Coturnix japonica: one gene and its partners. The protein of the gene in region 2 binds, or shares a complex with, the protein of the main gene of each other region. Links are inferred from orthologs where the notes say so. Each region holds a gene or a part of one and is shown on either strand. Other genes may lie near its edges.

The links.
Region 1: EXOSC7 (region 2) and EXOSC1 share a complex: the UniProt entries of both Homo sapiens proteins name them as parts of the RNA exosome core complex. The link is inferred for Coturnix japonica from reciprocal best matches to the Homo sapiens genes EXOSC7 and EXOSC1.
Region 3: EXOSC7 (region 2) and EXOSC6 share a complex: the UniProt entries of both Homo sapiens proteins name them as parts of the RNA exosome core complex. The link is inferred for Coturnix japonica from reciprocal best matches to the Homo sapiens genes EXOSC7 and EXOSC6.

Annotation. Positions count from the first base shown.
Region 1 is NC_029521.1:19,502,315-19,505,958, reverse strand, and holds EXOSC1 (exosome complex component CSL4), read right to left. Parts: upstream 2,269-3,644; coding exon 2,238-2,268; intron 2,165-2,237; coding exon 2,049-2,164; intron 1,919-2,048; coding exon 1,844-1,918; intron 1,691-1,843; coding exon 1,602-1,690; intron 1,448-1,601; coding exon 1,414-1,447; intron 1,279-1,413; coding exon 1,228-1,278; intron 1,130-1,227; coding exon 1,045-1,129; intron 876-1,044; coding exon 769-875; 3' UTR 642-768; downstream 1-641. Other genes in the region: palmitoyltransferase ZDHHC16, read left to right, coding at 2,267-2,535. UniProt on the Homo sapiens protein: Non-catalytic component of the RNA exosome complex which has 3'->5' exoribonuclease activity and participates in a multitude of cellular RNA processing and degradation events.
Region 2 is NC_029517.1:39,619,549-39,623,835, forward strand, and holds the start of EXOSC7 (exosome complex component RRP42), read right to left. Parts: upstream 2,894-4,287; 5' UTR 2,818-2,893; coding exon 2,761-2,817; intron 2,659-2,760; coding exon 2,557-2,658; intron 372-2,556; coding exon 277-371; intron 1-276. UniProt on the Homo sapiens protein: Non-catalytic component of the RNA exosome complex which has 3'->5' exoribonuclease activity and participates in a multitude of cellular RNA processing and degradation events.
Region 3 is NC_029526.1:1,395,410-1,398,883, reverse strand, and holds EXOSC6 (exosome complex component MTR3), read left to right. Parts: upstream 1-1,539; 5' UTR 1,540-1,560; coding exon 1,561-2,517; 3' UTR 2,518-2,885; downstream 2,886-3,474. Other genes in the region: AARS1 (alanine--tRNA ligase, cytoplasmic), read left to right, coding at 319-438, 571-657, 932-1,045, 1,241-1,426. UniProt on the Homo sapiens protein: Non-catalytic component of the RNA exosome complex which has 3'->5' exoribonuclease activity and participates in a multitude of cellular RNA processing and degradation events.

The DNA of each region.
Region 1 (3,644 bases), on a different chromosome or scaffold from region 2:
GTCCTGCATCATGGAGGTGGTTAGATGCCATTGTGTACCCATCCCACAAACGTCTACTTGGCACTGTCACTGTAGCCTCCCCCACTGCTGCTGTAGTGAGTCTGGGCTTGCACTGGGTCAATCTAACTGTCCAGCGGTAGCAGTTGTCTTGTTCCAGTTCAATAAAAGATGAATATGCAATAATTAAATGTCAGCGTTTCCTTGTGCCACTGCGCCACGTGGAGCTCCCACTTTGCCTAGCACCGCATTTCCTGCACCACCACGTGTCTGTGATGCGCAAGTTGCTGCTGACTTGTGGGTGCAGAAGGTGCTCAGACTGCACAGCAAAGCACAGTTCTGCAATCCTCGCTGCAAAGAGTGATTCACTGCAGTGCTTTATGGGCTCTGGGCTGTGCCACACCTCTGCCTAACAAAGGGCATGTATGGCCTGAGGTGATAAGCCATCCTGGGGATGAGCACAGCAGCCATAGATGGTGCTATGTACCACTAAGCCTCAAAGCCTCGCTGCTCCCCAGGACAGGAACAGACTTTCTCACTCCCACACTGATGGGAGAAACAGCCCCCTCCAGCAGCTCCAGAGCAGAAGGGCTACAGGCAGCCAGAGCAACCCCTGCGGGCAGTGACTGAGCAGAACACAGAGCTCTCAAAAAAACCACGTTTATTTATTACTTACAGCACAAATACAAAACCCATCCTGCTGTATGGAAGATGCTGGACCCCACCATAGCAGCTCTCTTTCCTGGGGTCCCTGTACCCCTGAGGAGGCTGCTATGTCTGCAGGAACTGAGGCTGCACACGGGCCACCTTACGGAAGTCCTTGGTGTGCGTCTGTGGGCACTGCATCTCACACCAGCTGATAGGCACCATCTGCACCCCTGCAGGCATCCTCAGTTAGCAGATCCCTTCCTGCTTTGTCACACTGCCCAGCCCCAGCAGCCCAAAGCCTCCTCGTGCAGCCCCTGAGGCTCAGCAGTGGGAGGAAAGGAGGGTGTTTGCTCCCCATGCTGCACTGGCTGTTCCTCACATGGAGATGAGGATTCCTACCTGCGTCGCTGCGTGCCACCACCACACCCAGCTCGTTCTCTGCCGTGCTCAGCAGGTAGTTGGACTGTGCATCCCCCAGCGAGATCTGGTTAGGTTTGTGTTAAGGGAAAGACTCCCTGCCTCTATAGCCCAGCACAAACCCTCCAGGCCCGTGGGCCCTCCCACTGCGATGGGAAAGGATACGACTTTGGCCAGGACTATGTCACCGGGGCGGAAACTCTTGTAGACTTCTACCTACGTGGGAGGGAGTGGACAGGAGTGCATGGAGAGCGCAGGTACTGCTCGATAGGCACCCCATGGGCAGCAGCACGAGGGGAGCTGGACAGGGGGAAGCTGTAACAGCACTGTACCCAGCAGTGCCCCGCTGACCTTATCCTTTTCAGTAGCTCGAATGTCTTCCCTCCTAGAAAAGCAGACACAGGAATGTGATACCAGAGAGAGCCAGGAGGAGCTGCCCCGGCCTCCCTGGACGGCAGCCAGGCCTCGCTAGATGCATCCACGCAGCTGTCCTCGCAGCAGGCAGGCACCGCGCAGTGTGCCCCCTGCCCTTTCCCTACCGTATGGTGCCACGGAAGGTGGATTTCAGCGGCGTGGAGCCAACGTACAGGATGTTCACTTTGGCAAACCGGGAGTTGATGCTGCACACCTGCACCAACGGGCGGCGGGCACTCAGCGCCCGCGCAGCGTGGGCCGGGCCGGGCCGGGCGGCTCCTTGAGTGTCCGCCGCCGTCCGTCCGGAGCTCCGTGAGCCGAGCACACGGCCCCGGCCGCGGGGACACGTGGGGACAGCGGCACCCACCTTACACGTCACCACGGAGCCCACGTCGGGCAGCAGCTGCGCCTCTGCATCCCGCACCACCGACACCACGGGCAGCTGCGGGGCACAGACAGATGGATAGACACACAGACACACACACAGACACACACACACACACATAGACACACACACACACCCGGTCTCAGCCCGGTCCCGCCCCGTTTCCCGTTCCCCGCCGTGCTCTCACCGCCCCGTCCCGCTCGCAGCGCCGCACGCATCCGCTCAGCGCAGCGAAGATGTTGCCGTTCCGCACGTAGGTGCCGCTCCCCGCCGCGTTTCCGTCCGCTCCGCACAGCCGTTCTCCTGCGGGTCGCTCGCTCAGCACCGGTCCCGCACTTACCGGCCCGTCCCCCCCCGCCGCCCGCCCCGCACTTACCGGGCACGCAGTACCGAGCTGGTGGCGCCATGTTCAGCGTCGCGCGTGAGCCCGCAAAGAACCCTCCTCCTATTGGCTCTCAGCGACGGGGCCGCGATGTAAGCGGCATACCTATTGGTTCTCTTTTAACCTCAGGGAGCGGCGGTGTCGCGCGGCCCGCTGGGAGTCGTAGTGCGGCGCCTCGTGCCGGCCCTGCCCGCTGTGCTCAGTGCGCAGGCGCGGGGCGGCGGGCGCTGCCCGGTGCCGTGAGGGCGGCGGGAACCGGGCATGGCGGCGGGCGGCGGGGAGCGGGCGGCAGGTGCGAGCGGGAACGGGAACGGGAACGGGATGGGTGCGGCGGGGCGGGGAGCGGGGCACGGAGCGGGGCGGGCCCGCGGCCTTGGGGCGGCGTGACCGGCTGGCACGGCCGAGGGCAGCCCTGAGCCCAGCACGGGGTCACCGGGAGCGGGAGCTCATCACCCGCCGTGCGGCCGTGCCGGTACCGCTGTGTCCCGGTCCCGCCGTGTGCCGGTTGTGCCGGTTGTGCCGGTCCCGCCGTGTGCCGGCCGCTCGCTCTGTGTTCCCGGGCCGTGTGTTGGCGCTGGGCCGTGCCGCTGCCTGGCGCGGTGCCGAGCGGAGCGCTCGGTTCGTGCCTTGGCCGCATCCCGGGCCGGCCGTGCCGTTAATATTGATGGCCCGGGGGCCCTGACCCGGCGGATCGTTTGCCTCATTTCGGGCCCGGCTCGGGTTCCTCCTCGCTCCCATCGCGGCCCTCGGGTGGGATAAGAGGCTCAGCGGGAGGACGAGGGCTCGGTGCGTCCCTCTGCTGTCCGAGTGCCCGCAGCTCGGCCTGGCACAGCGCAGCGTGGCACTGTCCGGGGAGCTGCTGGGGTCGGTGTGCGATGGGCTCTGCAGCTTGGTCCGGGGCTGAGGCAAAAGGAAGAGCCGTCCAGGTGCTGCTGGGTGTGAGGAACAGGGCACGTGTTTTGTGCGGGCTCCCTCACTCCCGAATCCATTAGCAAAGGCTGCTGAGGGGATCCCCGTGGGTTTGGAGCGTTCCCTGCCCTGGAATGAGCTCTTCGCCCCATGTGCCCTCACCGTCTCCAGTTTCCTCTGAGTCAGACTCTCCGTGTCGCTCCCCAACCCCCTCCCCTGTGGGAAAGACGAGATGGGAGCAGGGAGCACCCGAGGTCAGGCGCGGAGCCTGACAGCCCCGTGTCCCCCCTCCGCACACAGAGCTCGGGAGCGCAGCATCCCTTTGGGCTCAGCGCCACCCGCTTCTGCTCCGCATCCTGCGCAGGGTGAAGGAGCCCTGCCCCGCCGTGCAGCCTGACACCTGGCCTGCCCACACCCAGCATCTGCCCACATCCAGCATCTGCCCACATCCAGCATCTGCCCACACCCAGCATCTGCCCACACCCAGCATCT
Region 2 (4,287 bases):
GTCAATACTTGGAATGCTTCATTACTGAAAGATACTGTCTATGTTCAATCACTATAAAGAAAAAAAAAGGCAATTGATACTACAAAGCTGAAATGATGTTTCTGAACATTCAGCACAGCTAAGACAGTAAAATAAACTGCTGCTGTTACTCAGACACTAAGCAGGTTAGGGCAGTGAAGGTTCACATTTCAGATCTGATTAGGTTTTTTATTTCAAATGTGAGAAGCAAAGTGTATATGCATACTGCTCCATTACCTTTTCTTCTACTATACTAACCAGTCAACAAAGAATTCCAGATAACCTTCATCTGGTTTCTCTAACTTCGGTGTCCCCATTTCAGCTTTTACACCAACCAAGATATCAGTGTGTCCCTGTTAAAACAAAAATACATCACACAGTTAGAACTATGGGCAAAATACACTCAGTTGAGATGCCTACAGCATGCAGACACTACCATCTATTCTGTTGTCTTTGCTAATTGCTCTACTAGAGAATTGCAGAACAGAAAGGCTTTAGGAGAACAATTCTGTGCCCACATATCAGCTTTCTTTGTGTATATAAGACAATCTTAATAGCCATACCTTTTTATCATTGCAGTTCTGGATCAGTTATTTCTGCAGAATGTTTATAATACCGCCAAAAAATAATTGTTTTCTTTACAGTCAACACATGCCAGAAGTAGTTTTGCTTCACTGTAAAGGAGCAGAATTATTTTTTCCAGTGACAGGCACAACAGCATCTAACACCCAATAGCAGATTAGTTCAGACTGAAGGCCTTTCAGGCACTCCACTATAAATTTAGCTCAAATGCATTAAGCTAACTTGAATTATTCATATATCTTGTCATTATTTCCTCAACCTATCATGTCAATTAGAGCTAAGCACATACATACATGCATAGGTCGCTCTGAAAGTAACGTCTTCTATTTATTTCCACAGAAAATATAAGAGGTGCAAAGAGCAAAATAACATTATTTGATTGAACAGATTCTCAGCAACAAAACCTTATTAACATAGTCACCATCACTCTGCATTTTCACCACTGATGAACAAGAGACTGCATGCTGCACTCATAAAAATCTGCACCAGCAGAGGTAACCCACTGTTTCATAGCTATGACTGCACCACTGCTAGGAAAGCATTGCCTGAGCAGTCTATTTTCCATCAAGCCCAAAGAGGTGGAAGACAGAAGGCACCAAATCCACACTACACAGTGGGTGCTGTAGGACAGTCCAGACAAATTTGGCAACGTGCTCCAGGGTCCTGAAACTGGTATGGGACTTGGTGTTATCGCATTGCAAGAGAAAAGGTGTCTTCTTCTCTGCCTGACTCTGGAAGCTCAAGCCTTCAGCTTAGTCAGTGTCATGATGTAGCAGTCAGAGCTGATGGTTTGTCTGGGTTTCAGGAAATCCAAAAGGATCACTTCTTTCCTATCCCAAGAGACAGTTCACAATACTTTGCCTGCTGAAGGCTATCTCTTGAACTTTTTCTTCAATAGGGAATCACATGTCACCACTCCATGGACTGCGTTTTCTCACCGGTGCGTAGTGGTGACACCACATCTCATCATCACTACTGATGTGATCCTGGAAACTGTTGCCTTCAGCCTTGTATTGGTTCAAGAGATCCTGACAAACTTATAACTTTGAATCCCCCCTGTCGTGCAAGTGGTAGAAGTGCCGCTCTGCTACACAGGAGGCTCGAATCCCAGGGGTTGGACTCGATGATCTCTAAGGTCCCTTCCAACCCACACCAGACTGTGATACTGTGTGATATACAGTATTCTTTCTGCTCCTCTGTGAACACTTATGGGAGCCACCTGGCATGCATTTTCTGATATTCCAACATTGTCACCATCATTTCTAATGCAATGAAGCTGATATTCAGCTCTGTACACAGTTCCCTGGTCATAATCTGCTGATTTGCACAAATGAGCTGATCAAGACAGTTCATTTCATCGTATGACAGCCGTGCATGGTCATCTAGAACATGCCTTGTATTTCACAAGGTGAAATGCACCACCACACAGAATCACAGAATTACCTGGGTTGAAAGGGACCTCAAGGATCATGTAGTTCCAACCCCCCTGCCTAGCAGGGCCACCAAACATACGCCTTCACTAGATCAGGTTGCCCAGGGCCCCGCTTCACTGTGCTCACGTTCGCTGTTGGGTCTCCATCAGCATTCAGCATGCGACAATGAATGCCAACAGGGACAATCGTTTCAACACGACATAATTCAATACCACATCTTTGCATTTCCAAGTCAGACACCATTCTGTCAGACTGCACATCTGCTGTCATCAGTCACAGGGCAACACAATAGAATGAAATATTGTTGGGAAGGTTCAACCTCTACTACCACACCACCAACATCTGCTTATGATACTGTGGGCCAACATCATAAAATAGGAGGGGCTGTTTTTGGAGCAACATATTAGACACATATGAGGAGACACACATGGACGTATTTACAAGCAGCAATTATTTATCATAAGCCAAGCGAAACAAGCCAGTTTTATCAGCAATGTAGACGACTCCTGAGCCGTTCACCTACCAGCTTCACTCTCGCAGATCCACTCGTGTTGGACACCACATCTGTCTCTACTTCTGCACACCTGTAATCTTCACAGCCACGGCCATCCACACGGAGGTCCTCCTAAACACGACAACCAACGTAATCGCGAACATAAGGAACCTGTGCTTTTCAAGCTTCCCGTGCCGAATACATCACCAAAGATGACAAGCAACTATTCCCTACCTGGACGCCGTGTATGATGTACATCTTCTCCGCGTCGCTCAGCACTACGGACGCCATGACACCCCGCGCGCTGCAGAGCACTTCCGCTTCCGCTTCTCGGAAGGAGGCGAGCTCTGCGCCTGCGCACCGCCGCACTTCCGCAGGCGGGAAATGGCGCCGGTCGCCTCAGCGCCTTGTACAGGGCGGTGGGGTCGGCCCTGTGTGTGTGTGTGCCCTTAGCTGAGGTAAAAGTAACCTGAGGGTTGTGTGCCCCGGTGGCGCAGTGGTAGGAACGCCGCCTTGCAACACTGGGGCCCGGAGTTCGAATCCCCCCTGTGGCACAAGTGGTACAAGTGCCGCTCTGCTACAGAGAGGCTCGAATCCCGGGGGTTGGACTCGATGATCTCTAAGGTCCCTTCCAACCCACACGAGACTATGAGACTATGAGGGTACCCGAGTATGAAGCTGAGGTTCTCCTGGCTGTCAGACCGCGGAGAAATGCGGAGTTTTACCCGAGACATCGTGCTGGTGGTGTGGGAATGCGATTAAAGGCTCCAGTTTGACACTGCGTTGTAATTGAGGGGTGTTTATTGTGGCAGCTTCCATTAGCTCACGTTGTAGGTGCCATACGCTCAGCACGGCTCTCCTGTATGTTGGTTGGTGCGCTGAGTGGTGCCCACTAAGGGCACAGTGAGGTTTGGGATGTTAGGGGGAAGTTCTTCACCAGGAGAGTGGTTAGGCCCTGGAACAGGCTGCCCAGGGAGGTTGTGGATGCCCCGTCCTTGGAGGTGTTCAAGACCAGGTTGGATGGGGCCCTGGGCAACCTGATCTAGTAAATGTGTATGTTTGGTGGCCCTGCCAGGCAGGGGGGTTGGAACTACATGATCCTTGAGGTTCCTTCCAACCCGGGTCATTCTGTGAGGTTATGGCGCTGGTGCTGCCTGGCTCCCAGCTGCACCCACAGCGCTCAGACACAAGGAGGGGCAGCTTTCCTTCCTTCATTCCTTCCTCCATGTCTGCCATCCATCCCAGACTGGAAGCGCAGCCAGCAGCTCCTCGCTGCTCACAGGATGCGGTGTCGTTTATAACAAGGACAAAGCGATGCCTTCTGCCTCATTTTAGCCAGCTGGAAGTGGAAAAAGACCGTGATGGAGCCGCCCGGCACGCAGGGGCTCACGCTGCCCGGTGAAGCTGCAAGCAGCGCAGGCAGCGGCCGCTAAATCCGCAGGTGCCGGCTGCTGCTGCCCGGCTTTGCGGTGCCGAGGCCCGGGGCGGGGCCGCCGGCCGCCAGCCGCCACTTCCTGGTTCCTCCGTTGCCGCCCCACCTCCTCGCCGGGATCGCGTAAGGGGACGGCGCTTGGGGAGGGGGGGGGAACCGCGCTCCGCCGGGCCCAGTGCCGCGCGCGGGGCGCCCGCTCCGGCGGGGCGGATGGGAGGTGGCGGCGGGCGGCGGCCTGCGGGTAGGTGGCGGGGCAGAGCCACGGGACCGCGGGGCTACGGGTGGGGTGGGGTGAGGTAAAGGGGGATGCGGCCGGGAGCGCCTTCCAG
Region 3 (3,474 bases), on a different chromosome or scaffold from region 2:
GTGCTGGGACCTGGCGCTGGGTGTTATTAATGAAGCCCAAATTGATTCCTGCTTCTCTGTCTCCTCCTCTGGGGCCTCTTTGGTTACTCTCTTGGGGTTAATTGCTGGTGAATTGAAGTCTTGTGCCAACGCTCTGTAGGACACGAGCTCAGAGGTCTCAGCCCTGTGTTCTTTGGGCGCTACAACTCACACCTGAGCTTATTGGATAGCAGGGCAGGGGAGCTCAAGCCACTTTGAGGCTCATTAATGCAATGCAGCATTCCCTGCATTCTGCCATGGCCACCTCCACCTTTAACCCTCCCTTGTCTTGTTATGCAGATGCTGGCTACTGCTGTTATCCCACAGTGGCAGAAAGATGAGCTGAGAGAAGCTGTTAAAGCACTGAAGAAGGTTATGGATGACCTGGACCGTGCAAGCAAAGCTGACATCCAGAAACGAGTGAGCCCTGGCTGTGTGTGTGTGTGTATGTGGGGGGGGGGGGTCTCTTTGTGCAGGGAGCTCTGGGCTGGGTGGTTCTTGTGTCCAAGTGCATTGTGCAGACACCTGAACAGCAGTGCTGTCTGTCCTCAGGTATTGGAAAAGACAAAGCAAGTCATTGAGAGTCACCCTAACCAGCCACTAGTCATCATGGAAATGGAAAACGGAGCCTCAGCGAAGGTATGGGGAAGGTCTGATCTCTCCTTGTACCTGAGGGGCAGTTGGGTGGGCTCTGTTTGCTGTTGGAGATGGTGCTGTGAGCCAAAGGAGTCACAGTGCTGAAGGGCAGGTTTCAGTGTTGGAACAACCAAGCTGATCTGGTGCCACTTCATACCCCTGCCCTCCCTCCAGGGCTGTCCCCGTTTATGTGAGGCTCACAGCTGGGCTGAAGTGCTGCCTGGGGGTAAAGCCCAGGGGCAGGTGAGCCAATTGATGTTCCTTGTTCTTCCTCCAGGCCCTGAATGAATCACTGAAGCTCTTCAAGACTCATTCCCCCCAGACTGCCACCATGCTCTTTGCTGTGGACAACGAAGCGGGCAGGATCACCTGCCTGTGCCAGGTGCCCCAGGTCAGTCTGTGCTGCAGTGGCAGGAAGATGAATCTCATGCGATGGGGGCCGGCAGTCACTGCGGTGATTGAGAGCCACAGCTCTGTGCTTTGTGTTGTTATGGGGGATGGAGCAGGAGGGAAAGGGGCTTATATCCTTCCTCACCGCCACCAGGCTGCAGGTCGAGCTCTGTTTGTCCCTTCTTTTCCCCTCCAGGAGACAGCACAGAAGGGCCTGAAGGCCAACCAGTGGGTGCAGGAGGTCTCTGCTCTGATGGACGGCAAAGGAGGAGGGAAGGACGTCTCAGCACAAGCCACAGGCAAGAACGTGGGCTGCCTGCACGAGGCCCTGCGCCTGGCCACGGACTTTGCCAGGCTGCACCTCGGGGAGCTGAAAAACTGATGGGAACCCCACATCCCCCCTAATTACCCTTTGGTTTGCTGTATGAGCCCCGCATCCAATAAACGATAGAATCAAGAAGGCGTTGTCCCTCAGGGCTGCTGACACCCCACATCAGGGCAGCTCCTCGCCGCTCTATGGTTCCCCACGTTCCCCTCTCGGCCGCTGTACGAGCTCGGGCGCTGCGGAGCTGCCCCGCGGGGCCGAGGGCGGAGCGGAGCAGCCGGGGCTCCTCCTCCATCCGTCCCGCTTCCCCCCTCGCCATGCCGCTCGATCACCGCCGCCTGCACGGCCCGGAGGACTCGCAGCCGCCGGAGCTTTGGGCAGCGCAGCTCCGGGATGGGGATGATGAGGCTGAGCAGAGCGGGGCGGCGCCGCGGGATCCCTGCGCGCTGCGGCCGCTGTTCGCCCGCGCGGGGCTGCTGAGCCAGGCGGAGGGTTCGGCGTACGTGGAGCTGAGCGGCGGCACGAAGGTGCTGTGCGCCGCCTGGGGACCGAGGGAGGCGGCAGAGCCGGGCGGGGCGGTGGCAGCGGGGCGGCTCGTGTGCGACTTCCGACGGGCTCCGTTCTGCGCCCGCGGGGCCCGGCCCAGGCCCGGGGGGGCGGCGGAGCGGGAGGCGGAGCGGGAGGCGGCGGCGGCGCTGCGGGAGGCGCTGGAGCCGGCGGTGCGGCTGTCCCGGTACCCGCGGGCTCGGCTGGCGGTCAGCGCGCTGCTGCTGCAGGACGGGGGGTCCGCGCTGGCCGCCGCCATCAGCGCCGCGTCGCTGGCGTTGGCCGACGCCGGGGTGGAGATGTACGACCTGGCCGTGGGCTGCGCGCTGTGCCGCCCCCCGCTCCCACACGGCCACGGGTCCGCGGCGGGGCCGTGGCTGCTGCAGCCCGGGGAGGACGAGGAGCGCGGGGCCGCCGCCCGCCTGACGGTGGCGCTGCTGCCCGCCCTCAACCAGCTGTCGGCCGTGCTGGGCGGGGGGCGCGGCGGGGAGACCGAGGGCTGGGGGGCGGCGCTGCGCCTCGGCGTGGAGGGGTGTCAGCGCATCTACCCCGTGTTACGGCACTGCCTGCTGCGGGCTGCGCGCCGCCGGGACGGGGCGTGACGGCAACGGGGAGCCGCTGGAGCCGCCCTCGGTGCCACCGGAGACCCCCGGAGCTGCCCATGGTGGTGCTGGAGACCCCTCAGGCCTTACCTGGAGACACCCAGGACTGCTGCTGAGACCCAGACACCCCCAGTGCCATCCAGAACCTTCAGGGTTTGCCTGAGACCAACACAGACCCCCCTGGACTGCTTTGGATGCCACCACAGACCCCCCAGAGCTGCCCCCGGTGCTGCTGGAGACACCACAACACCCCACCACCACCCCATCCCTCAGTGACTGCCCCCGTGGTGCCCTGGGCTGGCAGAAGGGACTGTTGTGTGCTGTGTCGTTTTGAGTTTGTACAATAAAATGGGTTGTATTTTCTTTTTTCTGCTGAGTTCTGCCTGTTTGGAGCTGCTGAGACCCCCACAAAGCTCCAATATGGAGCTGACCCTCTGTGCCCCCATTCAAACACCCAAGAACCAGAGAAAAGAGATAGAAATGATGAATTGCTTGTTTTCCTTTCCAGCACAACAAACTCTTTTGCCGGAGCAAATCAGAACTACGGGTCAACTTCGGGCCAGCGAGGGGAGAACGGCCTTGAAATGGGGCACATAGACATGTAGGGAGAGGGATGGAGGCTCAACTTCCCCAGGCAGAGGTGAGCAGGGTCCCTGCTATGGTGGGGGACACCATTAAGACACCATTAGGACACCATTAAGAGAGACCCGCTGGTGCTGGGTGCCCTGTGCTGGTGGTATCATGTGTGGCCACCTGTGTCCTCACCACTGCCCAGCAGGGACAGCACTATGGCTTTGTCCGGCATGGGGAGCACATCTGGCCTGTGTTGTTATGGGATGGAGGGGTCAGTGGGATGCTTTACCCACAGGGGAGGTGAGTGGGGACACAGCGGATCTCAGCTCTGGGCTAATGATCCTTTGGGGTGTGGAGCTTCTGCCCTCCTCCCCTCCCCACGTA